Schizosaccharomyces pombe: one gene and its partners. Changing the gene in region 3 together with the main gene of any one other region gives a genetic interaction. Each region holds a gene or a part of one and is shown on either strand. Other genes may lie near its edges.

Region 1 (5,674 bases), 3.8 Mb from region 3:
TTCCGTAAGGGCTGAAGCAGGAACTGTCTCATCAGACCTGATGAACGTGAAATGTTCATTGGTAATTGTTTACTTTTGTTTGCGTTTCGCTTAAAAAAGTAGGTTCATGGAGAGAGAGGAATGGTACCTAACCTCCCGGTTCTATACCACAATAATCTAACGGCGCACTTTCAGAGTCGCTATAAGTAGACAAGCTATATTAACGTAGGCCGTTTGATATATACAAGATCTGAGTGGATCGTCGATGAATAGTTTAATTTGATGCGACAATTCGCTGAAATCTGCACGTAGCATATTTGAATCGATGTTTATATTTATGATACTTAATACTCAAAATGTACTAGCTTCATTTGCGTATCCAAAAAGTTATTTAATCTAGTACATGTCGCATACGGAAATAGCTGACATCTTAAATAGTTAGTTCTTATAATCTTACGAACCGAAACTTCTATATGACAAACATAAATCATTTAACTGCTATAAATTAATATTATTATATTGTACAATGTTCTAAACGTGCAAATTAGGAACAGAAAAATGCAACGACTGAGGGTTCGTTGCTCTGAATCAAAAGAAACTAAAAAAAAAAAAAGGAACTAGAGTTTTCGCCCAAACACTTAGTCATTAAATATTTACAAACGAAGAAGAAAAGAATGCAGAAGCAGGTGACAGTAAAATATGCTCCGAGTACCAATCATCATAATAAAAAAATGAAATGAAAATACATATGAAGGTAAAAAGATGCAGTCATCGTACCAACTTTAGAATCGTGAAAACTTGTTCGTATACCATATCCAATAAAAAAAATCATCCACACATTTATATGGTTTCAAGATTTACAACATCTTCTAGAATTTTTATCGCGTAAATGAAGGGTTAGAAACTGTAGCAGCAGGAACGGTGTGAGGCCTAGCTGTATCGCCATGTGCTTGATTATCCTTCGACTGTTGATGCAGAATGTTTTGTTGACGTCGTTGTCGATACTCAGAAAGAGATAGCTTCTTCGGTGCTGAGGTAGGAAGAGCAGAGGCTGAAGTGTTACTAGGCTTGACTACACTTCCTTGGACCAGATTCGAATTGGGCTTGTTTTCGCTTCTTGAAGTATTTAACGCATTCGAGATATCATCACCGTTGTTGGCTTTGTGGTCCAAAATGTTTGGATTGTTCGTAGGAAATTGGTTGTTTACCAAAGCATGGCGACTCGTTATAACTGGTGCTGGAGCTGTCGGCAAAGGAGGCGTAGTTACAGGAGATTTATCAAACGAAAACCCGACAGGACTAACCGAAGGTGAATGGGATCGAGTGCCATTCTGTCTAGAAAAGTTAACGTCAGAAGACCTTTGAGTGTCGTGAACATGCGATTTATCTTTTACAGTCCTTAACGTATTAAAAAACATGGACCCACTCTTTTCTTTACTCGACGGCTCGAGTTTCAATTTTGAATCTGAATTTCTATGGAAAGAAGGATGGACCTTATGTGGTCTGTCACCTTTAGTCTTAAAGGCTTCCGGCTTCCTTTCGATAGATAGCGATCTTTTATTATAATCAGGTTTGCCATGAAAATCATTTGCAATGCTACGGCGTCTTTTAACTGACGGCAAATGATCAACAGAACCATGCTTTTTGTGGACTGTCGTAATAGTTCCTAATCCTCTTTTGCAAGGAGAAGTTTTGTCCAGCATATCTGGGCTTGTTCGAGGATGTTGTAATGGTGAGGCTGATCGCCTACTTAGTGATTCTCCAACATTAAAAGATGGAGGAGTTGTAGGGGTTATCGAGGATTCTTCAGGTTCCTTTGCTTTTTTCAATGGACCATCGGATTGTAATGCAGCATCGGGTGAAATGGGCGATAAGACGTCTGCAATGCCCACCTTAGAATCAGTGTGTAAATCAGCAATATCAGTTTTCTTGTCCCTATTAGAGGAATCTTCCTCAACAGAGGGTAGTGGAGATTGTAAATCTTTAGTTGGTTTTTTCTCCTTCACAGATGGCTGTAACTTCGGCTCCATGACTACATCGATTCCTACACTTTCTGTGGGTAATGACTTAACAGCAGGCCATTTTTGCAAAATACTAAGACGGTACTTATCTAACCAAAACTCTTTCAAGGATTTGGCATAGACCGATGTGGGGTTTGAAGGTTGCGGTAATGATTCAGCAGGGCTAGGGGTAGAAGGGGTTGAGGAAGGTGTCAGAGACAAACGGTCTTTTGCTACACTGACACGGTTTGCAGTAGAAGCGCGGCGGGCCGCTTTAATATATTTAGTAACTCTGGAAAAAACACAGTTTTTCTTATCCTGTGAGGCACATTCGTTAAACGACAGGAAGGTAGAAAGCACTTCTGAAAGTAATTCCAACTCTTCCATATTGAAGGAGGGTCGCGACATACCAGGCGCAAACTGGCGAAATGGATGGGAAATATCGAGAGTCCAATCCCCAATAATCTCTGTTTCCGGAGCTATGTGAGTAGTTGAATAGAGGATAAATCGAGGAACACTGTTAGACCCATTCATGTAAACACTTGAAACGACGGAGTTTGACTGACAACCTTTACGCGCAAACCTCGCTTTTGAACCAGCAACCCGTGAGTCAACAACAAGCTGAGAATTTGAGTCAAAAAAGACATGTGGCTTAGGAGCCCCCAAAATATTGTACTGGTTTTTGGGATCACTTTTGTATTCATTCTGCGTACAAACCCTTCCTTTCACCTCCATAATGGGTGTATTTGGAGGAATTTCGCAAGTTGACACCAAACCAAAGCGACTACAACAAAACTTTGAAGATGATATAGGTACGACTTGGCATCCATCCATTAAAACTTCGGATTCATCTAAATTCTTTAAATCCAAATTCTTAGAATACTCAAGCGCAGATGCAGAAAAGGTGTTTGATTCCAAAGGGACGTATTCCAAGTGAAACGAATACACATATTCGTTAGAAGCCTCGGTGATTGGAGCCTCTGGTGGGTTGTTAAGGTGGTTGGATCTTCGTCTGCGATTCTGAGAATGTGGAGCATGAGCATTGGGCAATGTTGCACCAGTCACACTGTTACGATAAGACCCCGAGTTCGAAGAGTTGGTAGACTGTGAAAATAAAGCGCCATTAGCGCCTGTGTTATTGCCTTGTCTCGGTGACGCAGAGTGTGTAGGACTAGCACCATTTTTGCCAAAACTAGTTCTTCTCTTGTTGTTGGAAGAACGGGATCGCGATAATATCCTAGACTGCTCTTCTTCGCGCTGTAACCTAGCTAGTTGAATTTTATGCGCCTTGTCGGCATCGATAGGACGAGGTTGGCATTGTTCACAAAAATATTTTTCAGGAACATTATTTGCATCTATGTTTACACAAACGGCGTGTTGCCATACCTCGCAACTTTCGCATTGGATGGTGAATCCGTCATCATCCTCGAATGGACAAACGCATCGTATTTTCCACATGCTAACTTAACCAAAGAGAAAACGATCAACTTATAACAAAGTAAAGAAGTATTTCATAAACGCTAATTTCTGTACAGGAGCAATTTAACCTTGGAAATTACTGCTTTCTTATGAAAGCAAAGATTTTAGCCCCAACTATACCAATGGCTATCTCGATTATCTGAACTCTCCTAAAACTAGGAATCTAGTATATAAATACTCGAAAAACCATGTAAGTTGAACAAATACTCTGTTTTCAATTTGCATACGCGATTTTGGTAGTTGATACGACGTCGCGATTATTCCGCTCTTCAACATTTCCATCCACCGAGTGTAAACACACGTCCCATAAACCACGTTTCCGCAGTCTAACGTCTCCTCGGTAAAAACAAAGAGAAGAAGATGTTGAAGAATAGTTCATTTCTCTATGAAACTTCTCATTTTACATATTTTAGAAGGTAATAAAACTGTCAAGGAGTTTTTAATGAGTCTTGCTAAGAAACCATTTTGAAAAAAAAAAATCATCTACTAAGACAATGAGTTGAGATAAACGGCAGGTGCAATGTGTCAGTAGTTAGCTAATGTATGGTGTTAGTGAGTGTGCGCAAGCAATCGAAAACGTCAATAACGGACTCGCAACTCTAAAGAATTAACAACCTTTAGCATTGGACTGTAGGGTTTAAACAGCTTTACAAGGAGAGGGATCTGTTTTCATGAGTTCCACAGTGATATGAGACTTGAATAGGCTTGTCAACTATAGAGAAATGTATATGCAAGGAAACCAGCATAAATGACAAAGTCTTTACTGTTTTATGACTTACTAAATATACCTCATGGAGAATTGAATCCAAATAATGAAGCAATGTTCTATCGTTCTAGTAGAATTTTACATTTCGAAGAGGCATTTGTGATAAACGAAACTAATAATATAAACCAATTTATTCCTAAACAACCATTTTTCAAACTGTTAGACTGTTGTATCTTGTACAAGCTCCAAACTGAAGATAGGTTCGTTTACAAGTATGTATACACGAAAATCCATTATTAACCATATTAATCTGCACGTAGCATGCAAGTCCAAAGAAGTAACCAAACGAGAAGAGAAGCCGAAACCAAATGCCAACTTTAGATATGCAAGATAAATTTTAAAAAACACGTTTTCGAAGTGTCTAAAGAGTTCGAAAGTGTAAGAAAACCACTCCCCAAAAATGTCTTCTCTTCTACTATTTTGTAAATTTGAAAGGAATAAAACAATAAAATAAAATAAAATAAAAGAACGAAGCGGGACGCAACCAACGGAAGATCGAGAGTTACATTTTTGTAGGAAGAAGAGTGTTTAGTCCATTTGCATGGCTGAAGATGAGTTTCGAGATTTCTTGTTTTTGCGTTTTTTGGCGAGGACGGGAATCTTGACAGGTTCTGCAACTTCTTCTTCCATGGTATACTCCTCGTCGGAAACAATTTGGGGTTCTTGTACCTCAGCAGTTTCAACCTCACCTTCGGGTTCGGTAAATTGAGGAACATTTTGAGCAATGAGTTTTTGAGCTTCTTGAAGCTCTTGGGCACGTTTGCCAGCCAATCTCTTTTTGTAAAACAGACGCTCTCTCTTGGCATGAACTTGGCTAACCCGTTTCATGGCATTCAAAGTAGTTGCAATGACATTACGGTCGTAACGAACAGGAACATTTCTACGAGCTGCGGTAACTGCGAGAGCTGTGTCATAAACCATTTCCTTTCCATGTGCCTTACGGTACGCTTTGGTCCAAGCAACCTAGACATTGAAGTTAGTATACATACATATAGGTGGAAGCAAAACATTTAAAAAAACAATAGAAAACTTTCTTCGTTCATGGGCATATAAAGGAAAAAGTACACCATTTAAGGTAGAATTTGAAGAAGAAAAGTATCATTTCAAAACAAGGCAACAGAAAAAAATTTTTCCTCTTTCAAAATCAATCATCTTCCTCAACCAAGTCTGTATAACGTTTTTGCATTCCTTTATTATAAAAAAAACATACCTTACGAGGATTGCGCTTCATTTTGAAGTTCTTATGGCACTTGCTGCGACAGAAACGAAAGACCTTGGAGTCATTTCTAACAAACATTATTCCATGTCCTGGGTAAACAGGACCCGAGCAGAAATAGCAAGTATGTACCCTAAATTTCCGTTAGTAATAAATACTTTGAAGGCATTTAGCTCTACAAACCTCATATTCCCCCTAAATTCTTTCCCGTCCTTGTATGTTCAAGTTGGCTAA
Region 2 (5,760 bases), 930 kb from region 3:
ATGTTCAAGAAAAATGGATTTCTGAAGTTCTTCACTTCTGCTCCAATTTACCCATTTTGCTAGTTGGGTGTAAAGTGGATTTACGAAACGATCCAAAAACAATCGAAGAGCTCTCCAAAACCTCACAGAAGCCTATCACATTTGAAGAAGGACAGGTAGTAGCTCAAAAGATTGGCGCCTATAAGTATCTCGAATGTTCAGCGAAATTGAACGAAGGGGTCAATGAGGTTTTTGAGACTGCAGCTCGTGCTTCCATGCTTAAATTTAAGCCTGCTAGTGTACCGAAGACAAAAAAGAAGAAGCACTGTATCTTACTCTGATGAAATGCAATCTCTGTTATGGTGTATAAGAGCGTTCTATTAATTACATTCTGTATTGTTAGATTCACTATATTCATTTATCCTCTTGTGCAAAGGAATTATTTTACGAGCTTAACCTTTGTGGTACCGTACACCAAGTTTTTTATCCTTCGAATCATTACCTAATGAGTTTCCATGAATGTTTAAATATTTCATAGTAATTAATTGTCTAATCTTTTATTTAAACTTATCGAAGCCTTTCATTAAAAAACTAGTATAAACACAGTTATATTCATTCACTATTTCGCGAATGTTTGTTGCGTTTTGATTTCAGGAACGTGTTAATTTCCTCACGTAATGTATCATCTAAAGAATTAGTAACTAACAGTGGAAAAAAAAAACTTACTCGGTGTCACATCATCAAGCGTTAATGGAGTTCGATTAAATGGGTCGGTGGCATCACTTAGTAGATGTGCTTTAATAGTAGACCTATCAATCGAAATGCCAGATCTCGGTAAAACAACAGGATCTTTCATTATTGTAAACATAAGAGGATCTAAGAAGTAGTCAGGAATATCACCCATGTCTTCCTCTTCAGTAGCCTCTTGCAATCTGAATGCCTCTACCCTATTCACAAATTCTTTAATAGCTTCTATATCAAAAGATGACTTGAGGTTGTGCTTAGTCATAATGCTAGTCGCACGTTCAAATATTTCTTTACTATAAGAACGGCCATCGTGAGCAACAGCTTCGACAAATGCAGGTTCATTGCACAGGTTAAGATAAACATCGAAAATAATCGACAAAAGGGTTTTTGCATTAAAATGATATTTCGTTGGGTCCTCTACCTTGAGGTTACTACACTTAGGGCCACATAAAGCTTGAAGGTTATAGTTTAGCATAGCTGCCAACCGATCTACAATTTCAACGGCACAAAAGGCTTTAGGAATTGAGGAAGTGAACAATTTGAGCATAAAAATAGTTTCATTCCCTAACTGGCAATAAGTAGAAGCTTGACGTTCTGCGGCCGCTAAGTTGCTTTGCGATTCTTGAACATTCTGGTTAGAGTTGCTATTGCTTATTGCATCTGCCAAAAGGCTCTGAAGGTTGTGAATCTCGGTTAGTTTTAAAAGAGCCTCATCAAGAAGATATGTAGCATCATTAAGCATGAGAGCTACAAATTTAACAAAAAACGGCAAATTTGTTTTTTGCTCCTGCTCCAGCTTACCAAAATAGGCTGGTTGCTTCCAAATAGTTCTAAATACTTCGCATATATAGAAACGAATGTTGAATTTATCATAAAATTGGGTAGATTGTCCTGTAGATTCAATCTCAATATAAAACGCCATAAGTGCTGGAAGTAACCACCTTGTTGCAACCTTCGACGTACGTACAACATCTAACAACAATTCTGATCTTCCCACGTGCGTTTGCACTCCAAAGTATAAAATCTCGGCAAGTTTCGCTCGCAAATAAGGATTTTTGATATAATTAGCTTGAGTTAGAAACGACACACAAAATTCACACAAAGGCTCTAAGGAATGCAGCGTCAAAGTACTCGACGAGGTTTTAAATAAAGACAACATATAATCTGTAATGGTTTCAATAAAATATTCAGGTAAACATTTGAAAGCTTCCGGTGCATTTTCATTAAACGGTAACGATAGCGGCATTTTTGGATATGTCGAAGATTGACCATCAGCTAACCTCGATAACCAAATGGCAACGAAATTAAGAAAAGAAAATGATCTTGAAGTATCAGATGTCTGCGTAAGCATAATCTCATAACAGTGCACAAACGATCTATCTAAATCCAATCTTTGATCAAGCCGACTTAATTGAGCAGTGAGACGTGTCGCTTGAAAACTACCGCTCATATTTTGCTGTTCAGTCTCTAATCTTTCTTTCAGTTTCTCGCTATCACGAATTGATTGCACAAGTTGCTCTAAAGCCTTAAAGGTAGCATTTACACCATAATGATGAAATGCGAGATTTAAAAAAAATATGTCTGAAATAAAGTTATTGGAACCCTCGGCTGGTTTTGAATAAAACGATTCCGAAGCCTTTTGATCAGCATTCAATTTAGTCTCTTCTTTGATATCAACGCGAGGGTTTCTCCTAAAATATTCAACTTGTACTCTGTCAATTTTCGAACATCCTATGTCAAGAAATGGTTCAGAAAGTCTGCTTAACACATGTGAAAAATTTAGCATGCAGGCGTCAGATGTAATATCAAAATGATTAACTTGAATGGATTGTCGCTTGTGATTGGCATTTACCACCATGGCAAAGAAATCCAACACAGACTCTCTCAAAGATGTAGATGTTCGAATGAGGGTATTGAAAATTTGAAAAAGGACATCCTGATAAGTAGACATAGTCAATTTTAAAGAACTTATTGACGAAGATATATTTTGGGCTGATCTCTCAGTAGAATTGGAAAAATATCGAGAAGCGACATCTTGAGTAAACACTGACAAGCTTGATATTCTTCCAAGAAACGTTTTGTACTCAATTTCTCCAGCATTATTCGTAGGATTCCAAGAAGGCAACTTCGGCAAAAGTAATGCAATTGGTTTTAATGACACAAGTTGTAATATAATCTAAAAATATCAGTTTATGCTAAAAGATAAAAATTGATGTTCATACCTGCATCACATTCATTTGAACAGTATCTACATTCATAAGACCAATTTTCAAAGATAAAGATTCCAACACAGGAATAAACAATTCATCTAAGTTTTCGTGTTCAAACCTCTGAACAAATTCTGATAGAAATTCCAAAGGTATACCTTCTGCACCAATTAAAACCTCGGCCAAATCAATTGTCTCCGAATTGAATGTGTCAGGAAGCATTACTACAATACCGGCATAACTGACAAGCAAACTTTTTAACAGAGATAAATAGTGAATTTTAAAGTCCTGGTTTTCATCCTTCGGAAGTCTCTTTTTATACTGATACAGAAAACTCCAAGACTGTAACAAATAAGAGAAAGTATTGTTGCCAGTTGTTGACAGTCGAGAGAGTAACGCAGAGTCAACATTATTCTCATTAAATAATAAAGGGGATCCCTCTTCTTCTAAATCTTTTTTAAAACCTTCTAAATAGTATTTTGATGAATCAGTTTCACTTAATGTAATATTAAGAGCCTGACATGTTATAAAATGCATCCATTCATCCTTAGAAAACAAGCGATGTTTTGGAGCACCAGATGTAACAGGTGGAGATATTTCTTTTTGTTCTGAATTTGATGTTGTAGCCTTTGAACCAATAAATCTCTTTTTTAAATCAGGTTTTTTAGGTTCAGGTGCAATATTGCTTTCCTTAGGTTCTTTAGAAGAATTTGCCTCCGAATTGGTCTGCTGCAATTTAGCAAGCCTTTTAAGACGAATCTATGGGCCAATATTAGCAATTAGCTGAAATTTTTCTCTTACCTTTTCCAAATCACTCATAATGGGGTGGATTGAGCAAGTTGGTGGAAGTGAGGTCAACATATGTTTTAACTACCAAAACTTACTATGCTAAACCGGTAACATGAAATTGTATTAACATATATTATTTTTCTCGTTTATAGTATTTATCCAGCCAAAAACTTTCTATTTTAGAAATATTCTTCACGAATATTTGAGTTTCTGATTCGACAGCTAAAACGTTAAAATAGTCTTATAACAAATAGGCTTACCTGAAGAATACATGATCCATGGTGTTTTTTTTTCATGAAGTACACTACTAGAGTCTAACCAAACCTGCTTTCCTCCTATTGTTTTGTAAGAGCCGTCATTCTGTAAATGTGCGACGTTACGCACAAAACCATCAAGTAGGCATTTCAAAATTTTGGAACAATCACTGGATGGTAATCTTTGAGCAGTAGGTATAGAAAATTTATTTAAAAAACGAACCAAATGAGTGCGAATGTCAAGGGCTTGGCGCAAAGTTTGATAGTTCAAATAATTTTTCCTGCACCATTGTAAATCTTTTTTGTTACCGACAAAAGATTCAAAAACTAAATGTTAATACACTTTTAAACTTTATTAATGAAGCATACCATTTAATGCGGTAATGATGTCCCCTTCATTTGCAAAAAAAGAAGAATGGGCAACGAAGGCATCATTCTTTGATGAACTTGTGGGATTATAAAATACTTCGCCTGCTGTAAGTATTGAAGCAATTGAAAGAATTTCATGAGTGCAACCAAATTGGTTGGAAGTAAGTAACTAATGATGGGTTAGCGTGTACTTTATTTCCTATATGGGAGTACGTACAGCTTTGGAGATGTTTGCATCCAAGAATGAGTTGGAAATTTGTATGCCAAGTGGGTCTGTCAAATTTCCACTTTCGTCCAAGACACCTAAAAGATAGAGGTCCTTCAAAAAAATTAGTTGTTTGCCGGCTATAATAAAATTCACAAACCTCTAGAGCCGCCATAAGGTGAACTGTGGGAGGACGGACAAAAAAGGGAAACTGAAGTATGTTTTTTAGCCCTAAACCTTTCAAAAATAACACCAACGGTGACATATCGCAATTTAAGATGTCTGCTTCAAATTCTTCTTTCATCAAGCTGTAAGCTTTTTCAGTATATAGACGGAACACCTTTCCCCTCATTGTCCTTCCAGCTCTTCCACTTCTCTGTATAGCACTTGACTTAGATATAGGCACGTTAATCAATTTTGAAGTCCTTGTATACGGGTTGTATATCCGTTGTTTATTAAAACCTGAATCAACGACATAAACTATGCCATCAATAGTAATACTAGTCTCAGCAATATTCGTAGAAAATATAACTTTTCTGAAGTCACCATCATATATGTTAAAAACTCGCATTTGCTCGTCAACAGTAAGACCAGCATGTAAAGGTAAAGGAACTAAAGTTTGACAGTCTTCGGAAGCATGAATTAAGGAATCTTCAATCTTTTTTATACAGTATTCTATTTCTTTTCTTCCCGAAAGAAAAACCAATATATCACCAGGCGGATAGGTTGAATTAATGTTTATAACCGTTTCGATTGCAGAATCAACGTAATTTTCTGTAGGTTTCTGCAAAAATAATGTTTCTACGGGGAATAATTTCCCTTCAATTGACATAGTGCATACTTTATCTTGTCCGAAAAACTGAGACAGTTTATTCGCGTCAACAGAAGCGCTGGAGAGCACAAGTCTAAAATCATTCCTCTTTTCTAAAATCCTTGATTTGTCAGCTATGAATAGAAAATTTAAATACCTTTTCAAAACTCCTAGTAGGAGATCTGTCGACAAAGTTCGTTCATGGACTTCGTCGAGAATGACTATTGAATATCTTTCCAGCAAAGGATCAAAAAATATTTCATTCAAAAGGATTCCATCGGTCATATATTTTATTTTTGTTTTTTCAGAAACGTTATGATCAAATTGAATGCTATATCCACACAAACTTCCAGGAGGAGAGTTCAGTTCCAAAGATACTCGTTCAGAGACGCTCTTTGC
Region 3 (4,765 bases):
ACTTATTGCAGTTTGCACAGTTTTGGGATTTAGCTATTTTTCATTCTGCCTAATTATCACGCCTTACTGTATCGACGTTTCTTTGTTGATCTTTAACAACTGTCCTTATTTTTTGGTTTTTCGCGGATTTTTTTAATTAGATATACAGTTAACACTTCATTTGTCGGTGTCTTTGTTTTCTTTAATTGTATTTGTATATTTAATTGTTAATTCTTGTTTTGGAAGATTTTATACTTTTTTATTGGTTATACAGCAATATACTTTTTTGAAACTTGATTTTTTGGATATCCCGGAAGTTTTTTTTCTGCTTTTTTTTTTCTTTGGTTTTGTTAGGTCGTAGAAGCTTCACTATCTTTTTACCTAGAAATGGCTGCTAAACACGTAAAATACATGGCTTGTCTATTCGATATGGATGTATGTTTATTTTTCACACCACATTACCTCTTATGAAAGCTTTTGCATTAACAATCACTCTTTTTACAGGGTCTACTTGTCGACAGTGAAACTATTTATACAAAGACGACCAGTATGTAAATAATATATCTGTGCTTATATTTAGCACAAAACTACAATGTTTTCTAATCTTTATTTTTTTTATAGATCTTATATTGGACAGGTATGGCAAGGATCCTCTTCCTATTTCTGTTAAGGCTCAAATGATGGGTATGTTATATAAAGCTAGCGAAGAGATATTTTAAAATGCTTTCAAAATTGCAGGTCTAACTTGCGATACGTAGGGAGACCGGGTTCCGCAGCTGCCAAGGTTGTTATAGATTGGTCCAACATTCCTATGACTCCTCAACAATTCGTTGATGAACAACAGGTTATTCGGGTACGTACTTATACGCTACATTTATTTCCATTTCAACTAACTTTCTGAAAGGCAAAGTTTTGGTCGTCTTTGAAGCCTATGCCTGGGGCTGAATCTTTGATTAATAACCTCTCCAATCATGGAATTGATATCGGGGTATGTACTCATCCCTACGCTATAATAAAAGTGTGCTAACAGCATCACCAGCTTGCTACTTCCTCTAATACCGCAAATTATAATATGAAGACAGCCCATCTTAAACATATTTTTGAGAAATTTGGTAAAAATGTTATTACAGGTGATAATCCTAGTATTGCACCTGGTCGTGGCAAACCTTTTCCAGACATTTGGCTGAAGGTGTTGAATTTAATAAATGAAAGTAGGAAGCAGCGAGGTTTGAAGGCACTTACACCAAGCCAATGCATTGCCTTTGAAGACAGTATTCCCGGTGTCAAAAGTGCAAAGGCTGCAGGAATGCATGTCATTTGGGTTCCAGATGCTGCCATCAAAAACTTGGTAGGGGATCAGCTGAATGAGATTGTTGATTCTCAATGTGAGACGTTACCGAGTCTTTCAGAGTTTGATATAAACAAATATCTTAACATAAATTCAAAGCAGGCCTAGAGGTTATATCCGCTAACTTTTTTTTGGTTCATTCAATTTTTTTTGGCAAAAAACCTCATATCTTTTAATAAAATTAAAAAATTGAAGTATAAATAAAGTTCTACTGTTTCAATGAAAACCTTGAACTGACTCACATAGCATAAATAACTTATGAGTAAAGGGAAAAAGCGAAATCTAAAAAAAAAAAAATAATAACATTTCTCTGAATTCCAAAATCATACATTGTAATTTTTTTCCTTCTTTGCAAATGCCCTTGAAAAGTCAAGAAGCACCGCAGGGATTAAACGAAAGAGACTTATTCAGAAATTCAACTTCTCACTTTTGTAAAGCATATATCATAGAGACAGGATTAAAATAAAAAAGGACTAAAACAAGTAAAAAAAGAAGGAAAAGGAAACAGGTATAAAAGGAATCGCGATTCTTTAAAGGTGCAAAAGATTTAGGGGCTATAAGAAGATATATATATACTCACAGTATACTTTTTGAGGGTCAAATGACATTAAAAACCGCTGATTGCGGCCTGAAGCGAAAAAAAATAATTCACGAAACAGTTAGAGTACACTGACATGTTCAATGAGATACACTAGCAATTGCAGCTGCTTTCATTCTCGTTAGGCTGAATGCTAACGTCAATCATTTGAGTGCTTTGTGTTTCCACATTCTCCATGCCTGGTAACATTTGTGCAATTTTCCTAAACAACAGTTTTACATTGTGACCCGCTTTAGCACTAGTTTCCATGTGCATTATTTTTAATTCTTTTGCCTTTTTTTCTCCTTCTTCTTGAGTCACTTGCCTAAACCACCGTTAGCATAAGAACCATCAAAAACCAAAATATAGCTTTGGAATTATGAATGAAGAGATGTCGCATTGTAAATGCTGAATCTCTGTTAGCTGGAGTGTCATACCTTTTATCAGCCAAGTCCGTTTTATTACCAACGAGAACAATTATAACGTCGTCTCCCCGCTCAGCACGAACATCTTCAATCCATTTCTCAGTATTTACAAAAGAGTTATGGTCTATAAGTAGTTAGCAGATATTCGAAAATAAAGTCTGAGTAAAAATATATGGCAAAATTACTGTGCCACTATTACTTACTAGTGATATCGTAAACAATAATAGCAACAGAAGAATCCCTAATATACGAAGGAATTAAAGAACGGAAACGTTCTTGACCAGCAGTATCCCATAGTTGAAGACGAACCGTTCGATCTTCCAAATACATAGTCTTGCTTAGAAAGTCTATACCAATAGTAGCCTTGGACCCTGTTAGTAAAGAAGTTTTAATTATAGTTACTTACTTGATAAGTATTATCAAACTGATCGTACATAAATCGTGTAATTAACGATGTTTTGCCAACTGACTGCTCACCGAGAAAAACCAACTTAAATTTACGCAAAGAAAACGAGTAATTTTCTGACATTATGACAAAAAGTTTTGACTTCTAAATATACACAGACAAAAGTAATTTAGATACAGACGGAATTGCTTATTGATGATCAAAAAGCACCGTACTTAATAGTGGTAGTAGTGAGTAAAGACTATCGTGCTACAGTGAGATCCCGCCGCATATCCTTAATATACTTTCGCTTGTTTTACTTTTCATTCGCTTTTACGAAGTTTAATCTCGGTAAAGTAATTCTATAACAAACAACTTTTTCGCTGAAAAAGAAATCATGAACTCTCACCGTTCTTAAATTACTAAGCATTCCTAAAGATGGGTTCTTTTTCTTTGAGTTGTTGATAGTGATAGGTTTTTGGGTGTTAAAAAACATACAGCTGTAACAACAGTTTGTTTACTACTCATAGTTTTATACACAACATTTCAAGGAATGACAACTGGGATAAAAACGCGCCACATCGCATGGGAAGGAGGAGTCATCGAGATTTGATTATCATTAAACTATATAATACAAGAAATCTCTCGATTGGAATGGCCTAATTTTTGCTGAGAGTAGCTAAGTTTACAAAAAAATATTGGACACGCTGGGGATTGAACCCAGGACGACTCGCATGCAAAGCGAGCATGCTACCACTGCATCACATGCCCAAACATTGAAGGCTTCAGCATATTAGTAAAGTATAAGGTAATTTTTTTGTTTAGTAGCTGATGAAAGAAGGAAAATGGAAAGTAGTTAAACCATAGAACAAGCTTGAAATTCAACATAATGGCTTTATTCCATTTGAAATTTTATTAGAATGTTTCATAATCTACGCATCCTGTCTGCTACCAAGTTCAAGATTGGCAGACTGCACCAAACTGTTCGAAAAATGTATGTTTGTTAACTTGAATAAAACTAGCTGTTAAACGAGTCAGATTTAAGCAAAATATAAGCTTTACAGGAAAATATACTCGAGTTAATTTAGCAAACTCGGTCATTTCATTAATGATACAATTAGCTACGGAACAGCCAAGTCAAATTTTATACTTAATGTCAACAATAACAGGTTAGTTAGTGGGTTTTAATTTAATAATTTTCGAAATCAATAAAAGAGTAAATAGTATGGCTTTTCAAGCTTAGATTCTTTTAAAAATAAATTTTTTTTTTATTTGTATCCTTATTGCAATATGACGAAAAGTTCAAGAAAGATAAGAGAATTAAAAACTAAGTTATTTCATAATTATTAGCTGCTGTTTGGAATAAAAAATCTCGGAATTTAATGATAAGATGAAAAAGAATTTAAAAAGTAAATATGTAGTTATATATCCTATAAAAAATTTGGTTCAAACGATTAATTTAGATTATTTAGAATCTTTAAAAAGATAATGGGGTTAAAAACAAAAGAACTTGATTTTAGATTCAATTTAGAAATTTTTTTGTAAAGTGTCTTGATGTATTTCAATTTTTAGATGTGTAGCGCCATTTCATTTCACTCATGTTTTTAAAAGAGAAAAAAATTTACCTAGTTTATTAAGATATACAATTCATTCAGTTCCTTTTATCTTCTTCTATAATTCATTGTTTATTTACTTATTTATTTTCTCCAATGTCAAATTTATAGCACTTTAAATATCGCAAAATTTCAATATTATACGTTACAGCTCACAACTTTGTGTCTAAGCCCTCCGACTAATGTAGCTTACACTGCCTCTCCTTTCCCCATTTTCGACAAAATTAAATGAAAAATCCAATTTTTTGGCGATTCTTCCTTTTACTTATTTATTAAACACCAATTATTTCAAAAGGAAATTTTAAATTGTCTTTCCTTAGTGACGCTTGTTCAATAAGCCCCAAAGTTAGCAACCTTTACTTCATCGTACCATTATTGGCAGCCCAGGCATCGTTTATTTATATATTTTTATACAAAGCATTAGAAATTAACTTCGTA

What was found.
Region 1: mutations in ryh1 (region 3) and set3 together harm fitness more than expected from each alone (negative genetic interaction), as found in Schizosaccharomyces pombe (2 studies listed by BioGRID).
Region 2: mutations in ryh1 (region 3) and ufd2 together harm fitness more than expected from each alone (negative genetic interaction), as found in Schizosaccharomyces pombe (2 studies listed by BioGRID).

The regions. Positions count from the first base shown.
Region 1 is NC_003424.3:5,039,045-5,044,718, forward strand, and holds set3 (putative histone H3 lysine methyltransferase Set3), read right to left. Parts: upstream 3,701-5,674; 5' UTR 3,438-3,700; coding exon 858-3,437; 3' UTR 502-857; downstream 1-501. Other genes in the region: etp1 (monooxygenase-ferredoxin fusion protein), read right to left, coding at 1-59; ribosome biogenesis protein rlp24, read right to left, coding at 4,753-5,187, 5,435-5,573, 5,624-5,628. UniProt on the Schizosaccharomyces pombe protein: Transcriptional regulator that acts via the formation of large multiprotein complexes that modify and/or remodel the chromatin. Required for both gene activation and repression.
Region 2 is NC_003424.3:2,126,455-2,132,214, reverse strand, and holds ufd2 (ubiquitin-protein ligase E4), read right to left. Parts: upstream 3,775-5,760; 5' UTR 3,753-3,774; coding exon 3,735-3,752; exon of another isoform or gene 3,727-3,734; intron 3,693-3,726; coding exon 2,949-3,692; intron 2,903-2,948; coding exon 706-2,902; intron 666-705; coding exon 592-665; 3' UTR 502-591; downstream 1-501. Other genes in the region: Rho family GTPase Rho5, read left to right, coding at 1-320; gih35 (ATP-dependent RNA helicase), read right to left, coding at 3,856-3,944, 3,983-4,303, 4,346-4,514, 4,563-4,664, 4,711-5,482, 5,519-5,760. UniProt on the Schizosaccharomyces pombe protein: E4 ubiquitin chain-elongation enzyme specifically involved in polyubiquitin chain assembly.
Region 3 is NC_003424.3:1,192,179-1,196,943, forward strand, and holds ryh1 (Rab family GTPase Ryh1), read right to left. Parts: upstream 2,968-4,765; 5' UTR 2,859-2,967; coding exon 2,736-2,858; exon of another isoform or gene 2,693-2,735; coding exon 2,533-2,692; intron 2,456-2,532; exon of another isoform or gene 2,454-2,455; coding exon 2,342-2,453; exon of another isoform or gene 2,230-2,341; coding exon 2,019-2,229; 3' UTR 1,436-2,018; coding exon of another isoform or gene 1,019-1,435; 3' UTR 968-1,018; coding exon of another isoform or gene 884-967; 3' UTR 833-883; coding exon of another isoform or gene 738-832; 3' UTR 664-737; coding exon of another isoform or gene 601-663; 3' UTR 527-600; downstream 1-526. Other genes in the region: pseudouridine-5'-phosphatase Pud1, read left to right, coding at 367-414, 484-526, 601-663, 738-832, 884-967, 1,019-1,435. UniProt on the Schizosaccharomyces pombe protein: Has a role in retrograde traffricking of proteins from the endosome to the Golgi. Involved in protein transport to the plasma membrane. Involved in the secretory pathway where it has a role in acid phosphatase secretion.